Linked DNA regions of Neodiprion lecontei. The protein of the gene in region 1 purifies or fractionates together with the protein of each later gene. This does not show direct contact. Links are inferred from orthologs where the notes say so. Each region holds a gene or a part of one and is shown in the gene's direction. Other genes may lie near its edges. The genes, in order: serine/threonine-protein kinase Warts and scaffold protein salvador.

Region 1 (3,934 bases):
TTGTACAAAACTTAGTGATTGTATAACTCGGAAGTTCAGATTTGGTTATTTATATGTATAGTGAACGCTTATTTTGAATATCAATTGTGTATAGATTGTAAATAGTAAATATAAATAGAAAATAAATGTCAATTTTAACTAACAGTACAATTTGCAGAAAATTCCTGCTCTTGAATTTTGAGTGAACTTCCAGTTAATTAAATTAAATGTATGTACAAATTCATTCGCTGATTTTCCTATCAATACTTTTTTACAATCTTACCACGAATATCTGGGTTCTTGTTTTCCTTATACAGCGTAGTCGAAGGTCCATCTTTTGAGGGTATGACATCATCCGATGGAATTCCGCTGACGTGTGGTTGGTCTGGAATTAAATTTTTCAATATAAGTAAAATTTTAATGTAAATGCAAAAACAATTGCTTGCATTTGTTTGCAAGAGCCAATGATACTGATTTGTTTTACCTGCTATCGCAACACAGCTTGTTTGAGCCGAAATTTGCAGATCCTTAGACTCTGTATGCAGCTGTTCTTGGCGATGATTACCGTCAACAGGTCCATTCAATGTTGGAACTGCATCACACGTTAGTAAACATCGTGGATATTTTTTCCAGATATATTTTGGCTCAAAGTGTTTGTTACATACACGAAAATCTCGCCGGTTCGGATTCTTGGCTCGGATGAACTCATGCCATTTTTTGCGCCTGTATTATGAAAAATCATGATGTACATTTGTTTTCATAATATATGAAGATACGTGGGGACCCACAACATTCCCGTGAAAGCGAGGTTATATATTCATACTTACATACAGTTGCTCTTTTTTTGGTAACGCGAAAAACGTCACTCGTCCTCCATTATTTATGCTTTGATTTTTGATATATTTGTAATTGTAACATAATTTGACGTCACAATAAATTGGCATCTTTGGAAAAATGTTTGTTTGTTATCCAACGTTTACCCAAAGATTATAGCAACGCGTCATCACACCGACAATACTAACGCAATCACATCTTCACTAACGCTACACGTACGCGTTATATTTTTCCTCTGAGCCGCTAGAGGCGCTGCAATAGGGCGATACGGGTAAGATAATATATATTATCTTAGATGCGGGTACCTTCCACCAACTAAAATAATGTATATATTATCTTAGCCTGCTCGAGGCCCAGATCAAGGGGTCCACATGGGCTTCACTCTGTCCGGAGAGCAATGCAGTATGCATAGGCATTGCATGTACATACATACATACGTAGTCTCACATTGGTAAATGATTGGTAAACACAGACGGTAATCTTTTGAAATCAAGCAAGAGTCCGGCGGTAACAGCAGTGCCCACACTTATCGACTCACTCATGAGGATTACAATGATGATTAAATCGGTAATGGTAGGAAGTTTTTTTTTTTTACCAATGCTTCCTGCACCTTCACATACTTTCCTACTTTAACAATATATAGTGATCGAAGGTGTAAAACGTGTAGAAAGTGTTGCTAGCACGAACAAACCCAGTTGTGTGTGGTTCACCGAGTAACCATGGTAAGAGCGACGATAATGCAGAAACCTGAAGTTACCCCCGAGCAGACCCGAACTTGGTGCACCAAAAAGCTGTCACGCGATGTAATCCGAGGTTGGTAATCTCTGACATGAGCGTATTGTAAAGTCAACGCCTGTGGAGTTCGGCTCCTCCAGGCCCCTCACGGTCTCTATCTTTCATGAATTGGATACCTATTTTCGTAAATTTGATGCATCTGCCAATGCATACTATTTAATTTCATCCAGAGCATGCGTAAATCTATGATTTACAACCGATACCCAGTTAAACCGTTGAATTCAAATGGAATAGCTTACCAGCCTTAAATGATTCGAAAGTAGCGCCGATATTGATGCCAGTTCAATGAATCTTTCATATTTGTTGGATATAGAGTTAAGCCCTTCGAAGAATCGTTCTTATAAATAGTTAAAAATAACTGCAACTTCGACTGCAATGAATATTTGTAATACGGAATGCTGATATACAATTTGTGTATGTATATACGTACTAGAAATTGTGAAAAAGATTGTCAAGTCAGTGAAGGAATGTGGCACTTCAAAATGGCTGCCAGCCACTTTAGTAATTTACGGCTGTATCTTTCTTTGTTATCGCTTTTATGATTTCGACGAAGTTTTCTCAGTTTCAATTATTTTCTTCGTTGTAAAGTGTTTGCTCTAACGTTCTATAATTATTTCTGGTCCGGTCTATAAACCCTATTATAATGTGACTACGGAATATGCTCTCGATCCTCAGCTGGCATCACTCTCGGTTTAAAGGAATTTATATCAAGATATTCTTGAGTAAGAGGTTTTATATATTTTACAAAAGAATCTACGCACGGCTACTAACAAGCGGCATAAACAATTAGTCGTTATCGGCGATCAATTCGCAAATTACCGAGTCTCTAATTCGGTAGTGTGGTGTATGTATGTCTTTATATACAATTTATTGAAATTGTTTCATTTCAGTAATAAAATATTAGCACTTCGTACTCGTCAGTGAAATAATATCCCCTCAACGTTTTGAAACTGTATTCAACTAGAAAATTAAATAATATATATAGCTACAATGGTGTGCACAACTTGCGCTCTGTAACTTGCCACTCCTATTGGAGATTGATTTTCTTTGGTGCAGCCAGTTTTGCAAATAATTACAACCCTCCAAATGAATCTTATCGTAAGCCTTTAAAATTTTCAAGAGTGCACAGCATTGACAGTTGGTTCAGTGAAGTGAATTCAAGTACCAAATTCCACGTACAGTGATCGGCAACAAACTGGTTCACAAGAATTTCTTACCATTGTGCCTCTTAACAGTGCTAAAAAATAAACCATTGGTGTTGAATACTGCCATGTCAGCGAAGGATTTCATTAAGGAATTACAATACTAGCTAGCCTTATTTGTTTGGTAAGCATTAGTAACTCTACATCATTGTTTATAAAATCTACCATTCTTATTCTTATTAGCGTCATCATCATCGTCAGTATCATCATTGTCATTACTTCCGTTAGGAGTTGTAGTACTCTTCGTCTGGAGACCAAAGCATCGCAGGAGAGAATATATATTTTCATTATGGATTTTGTGTACACGAAAATTCATGATTAAGTTTTACACATTTTACCTCGGCAACAAGTATAACACTCATCATTTAATATTTAATTCATGATGTGTCCTTAGTGTAAATCTAATCGAAGTTTAACAAGTTCTATTTATATTTAGCTTTTGATATTGATATGACAAAATAACAGCATGCAAGTCATGCTGAAGTCACACAGGAGTCATATACCATTCCTACTAAAACATCCTAAACTTTGACAAAGTCAAGTGAAACTCGTATTCTAACCTTCTGAGGGCGATAGGAACTAGAAGCATGATTCAAACCTCATGTGTGTGCTCGAGTTTCAGATAGCAACGGAATATAACAATTCATATAAAATCGAGCGGTTGTATAACAGAGGCAAAGCATATCCTTATCTTACCATACTCTAGTGTAACCTCAGCGTGACTCGTGTTCAGTCACTTTCTATGCGAATATCCATAGCGTTATGTCTATAACCATTTGAAAGTCCTATTAGCCTCTTTACTTTGATCTCATATAGTAATTACTTTATTTAAATTTTTTCTATACCATTTGTGCACATACATGCATGCTGGTGTTGTTTTGTCAGGTTGTTGAACAGGTTTAAACTGACAAATTATATCATCAATTCTTAGCACCTGAGAGCAAGCATCTTGTTAGATGCTATAATGATTTATTTACCATGTCCATCGCTTTTATGATTAAAAATTTTACTAGAATGAAATTAAAAATGTAAGTTGCATATGAAATTATGCCACAGCTGTGTATGAAACTCGAGGATATCGTGAATCTTGCATACGTCTGTCATTACTTGTGACAAGTTCGAGA
Region 2 (3,934 bases), on another chromosome or scaffold:
CGGAATGCACAGGCCGGAAGTTGCCGACACCTAATCACAGTAGCGCATTTCCAATTCAGGACCTAAAAGGAACGATCGCAATTCGCAGGCGATCGTTCCATGCGTGTCAATTCCGTATCATGGGACCGTAGGAAGAATGCATCCCGTAAATCAGTGGAGCCAGAACGCCTCTGATTAGGGCTTGATAAGTCACTGGATTCCGGGTTCGTGGAGACGGTATAAATTCTGGACCATGGGACGGCAGCCCTTAGAGCATATATCACGGCACACGGAAACAAAAACAATTTCGAATACAGGTGATGAGAGAAATTAATGACATTGTAGTCAGGACGGCTAGGTGGTCTAGTGGAGTAAGTCTCCGGCAAAGCATCTCTAGATACCAGGTTCGATTCCTGGCTCCGTCGTTAATTTTTCAACTTACCTGAAAATTTTCGAAATTGCATTCTTTTTAGAGCATATTGTGCGCTACACTGAAATAATACTGGAACGATCACTGCGATAGTGGGAGTTCTGGAGAAAGAGATAGACACTGGTCACTTTCCGTTTATGTCGCTTTTCTGACACAACAAGACATTAACTGATTTCATTAACCTATTTCGTTATATCCGACCAATTACATCACTTAGTGTCGATCTGTGTGAAAAAACTGATGTTAAAGGAAAGTACGCTTTCTCTGAAATAAACCTCCGCATAAAGAAGAGAATGAATATTAAACTATTTGTGATGAAATGAGTAGCTTTGTGTATTTTGTATACACCTCTGTATCACTGCAAAAAGTTGATAAAGAATCAATTGATTCTTCCAATCACGAAAAAGCTTAGTTTATTTTCGACTTTATTCCTCCTCTTAAAATTCATATCACTTATGGAACTCAATAATCTTTATAATCTGATATTTCGTATCTTTGTAGGTAGCCTACAAACAGAAGACCGATTTGCCAAATATGGCTGAAATTAGTATGTAATTACGTCCAGATTCGGGGGTGTGAAAAAGCAAGGAATTTTTTTTTCGTCAGCTTCGAGCTGTTTCGAATATTCCAAAGTGCCAGAACAGCAGTATAGAAAACATTAGTAAAGGATATTCCAATCTTTCTCGTACATGTATATTAATATTGTACTAATTGTTACCTGGCCAGTCTTAATATTCGCTGGGAATGACACGAAACGAGGATAGTGATTGTCGAACTTGATGCCATGTTTTGTAATCACTACTACGAAAATATGGGGATTAATCATTTGAAAATAGTTCAAATGAATGTTTACAAAGGTTGATTTGTAATCAATGAGAACGCAATCTCCCAGCCAGATTGTAAGTTATTTCAATAGCCGCGGCGTTGACGCAGTTTGTATATCTTCAGTCAATGCTTCATTTATATTGCTCCGTGGTGCAACATCTGCTCTAATTATAAGAATGCCCTACAGGCTGGGATTTTATGGGCAGCATCAAAGTAATTCACTGAAAGTTACTAGCACATCCGGCGCAAGTTACGCCACTTGAAGTTCATTCTTCCGAACAACAGAGCAACAAACGCAAGACATTTTTTTATGAGCAGCGCTGCTGCTGCGGCAAATCACCAAACAGATGTTAGTATTTTTCTAGTAAGTTACTAAACTGCTGATGCTTTTTCCTGCACATGAAATCCCACCTTAAGGGTAAAGGGTGTAACAGACGGACTGCGCGTTACTGTGTGGTTATCCGAAGTAGTTGTCAGTTCACGATTTGACATATTGAAGTGGAAACGGGGTTCATTCCCTCGATAATTTTTAGTTATTCATGTCGTCCTAAAGTAGTGACTATCAAAATGTTGAAAAATTTCACCTCGTTACAGACATTTGTATATTATGAAAGCCCAGTCCAGTATTAACACATACCCACACGGTCGAAATAATATGTAAACGACACATTCGATATAAGTCCTTTCAATGTAAATCTGCTTCATGTAAGTTAATTCAATTTGCAACGTTCATAAGTGTACGATAAATATGCTGTCACGCAAAAACAAAGATTTGCGTACAATTAAAGAAGGCGTCGTTGGGAAATATGTTAAAAAAGAAACACCCCCTGAAATGCCTAGTGAGTATTCAATTGCTTTATCACTATTTGCTGCGCGAAAACGACCAGCAAGCATTCTTAGAAGTCTATAAACTACTCTTTGAATAACGTACTCCTATAAGTTTATATAATGTTAAATTGACTACTTAGTTATCAACGTATGGACAACCGAACCAGTCAGAAGAATAAGAAGATTTAATCAATCATCTATACCATCGTCTGCGGTAAGAGTTTCTGATTGTTGCTCAATCAAAGCTGTGAGTATGCACATGAAAATGAAAAAGCAAGAGTTGGGTATTCATTTGTATAAAAATACTATGAGCGAGATAATATAAAAGAATAACTCATTCGTAGTATCTCACGAGCTGCTTTTCAGTTTTCTCACGATGGCGTTGGTAAACATGTCTGACCGGTTCAAAGTGTATAAACAAACCTATCATGTCTGTCCTTTTTATAGCCTGTAGTTCAACAGCCAAGTATGGTCCAAAAATTTGGAAACACAAAAACAACTATGAGCGCAGTTGGATTAGGAAGTCACGAGGGCAAATATACACCCAATAGCTCGGTTCCAGATTTAGCTCAAAGGTATGCATATTCCAATACTAGAAATGTATTTGATTTTTGTTGATCCTGCATAATTCTATGAAAATATTTATTTTTCCATTACTTTTCTTTCTACCTGCAATAAGATCACTTGTTGCATAGTTAGAATGTGCCAACATTTGGTACTTTTCTTACAGCCAACTACATGTTAGTAAGAGGCTTCCTACACAACGGTTGATTATAAAATTTCATCTCATAATTGAATAGATATTATCGACATTGTTTGGTCTACACAAGTCTCAACGAAGAGCAACATTTTTCACATGTCGATGCTTACTTTGAACAGTCTCTGTTCGATTTTTGTTATTCCTATTTGTACACTAACTAATCATTTTTCAACAGATTTGCCAGCCTTTCTGTTACTTCCAGCGACGGGACAACCTCACGTACTCCGACTCCGATGTATCATCCTGAATTGTCCCCTGCAATTTCGCACACCTATGTGAACCAATATGCTGGTTCTGAATATCATTTGGATAGGATTCAAACACCTCAATTACCTTACCTGCCTTCTGAAATTGATTTAGGTTATGAAGATTATAATCAGACTCCGTATTGCCAAAACTCTGGGTAGAATAATTTGGTACCTTAGTCAATAATCAATAACATGTTGTGTAAATTATTTTGTACTCCTGTATCACTATGCAATTTCATTGCTTATGTAGTTCTCATACTTATTCAGGTACAATAGGAGGCACTCGGAGAGACCGAGTTCAAGAGGGGAACCACCAGAAGAGTTACCACTGCCACCAGGCTGGTCGGTCGACTTCACTCTGCGTGGTAGAAAATACTATATTGATCACAATACTAAAACTACGCACTGGTCTCATCCACTTGAAAAAGAGGGTCTACCGACAGGTTGGGAGAGAATAGAATCTCCAGAGTACGGAGTATATTATGTGAAGTAAGTTGTTGTGCATTTTTTATGATATTAACTTGCGAAAGCAACAATGTAAGGTGTCGCATGGGAAAACATCGATGAATATATTTCCTTGTCTTTTTCAGTCACATCACAAGACAAGCACAATACGAACATCCATGTTATCCTTTGGAAATGCAAGCCGTTCGTGTTGTTTCACCACCACGCCACACGCATTTTCATTCCCATAGCGTTCTAGTTCCAGCAAATCCTTATCTGAATGAAGAAATCCCACATTGGCTTTATGTATACAGCAGAGCATCTGTTGCTTTGGACCGGAAATTACGCTGGGAGCTCTTTCGTCTTCCTGAATTGGATTGTTTTAATGCGATGCTCACCAGACTGTACAAACAAGAACTA

The links.
Region 2: the proteins of serine/threonine-protein kinase Warts (region 1) and scaffold protein salvador purify together in Homo sapiens (affinity purification with western blotting; 3 studies listed by BioGRID). This does not show direct contact. The link is inferred for Neodiprion lecontei from reciprocal best matches to the Homo sapiens genes LATS1 and SAV1.

The regions. Positions count from the first base shown.
Region 1 is NC_060260.1:180,985-184,918, forward strand, and holds the start of serine/threonine-protein kinase Warts, read left to right. Parts: upstream 1-1,660; 5' UTR 1,661-2,330; intron 2,331-2,498; 5' UTR 2,499-2,934; intron 2,935-3,934. Other genes in the region: uncharacterized protein LOC107221828, read right to left, coding at 263-364, 464-702, 807-808. UniProt on the Homo sapiens protein: Negative regulator of YAP1 in the Hippo signaling pathway that plays a pivotal role in organ size control and tumor suppression by restricting proliferation and promoting apoptosis.
Region 2 is NC_060263.1:10,383,523-10,387,456, reverse strand, and holds the start of scaffold protein salvador, read left to right. Parts: upstream 1-1,653; 5' UTR 1,654-1,982; coding exon 1,983-2,073; intron 2,074-2,202; coding exon 2,203-2,276; intron 2,277-2,509; coding exon 2,510-2,637; intron 2,638-2,997; coding exon 2,998-3,225; intron 3,226-3,337; coding exon 3,338-3,559; intron 3,560-3,660; coding exon 3,661-3,934. UniProt on the Homo sapiens protein: Regulator of STK3/MST2 and STK4/MST1 in the Hippo signaling pathway which plays a pivotal role in organ size control and tumor suppression by restricting proliferation and promoting apoptosis.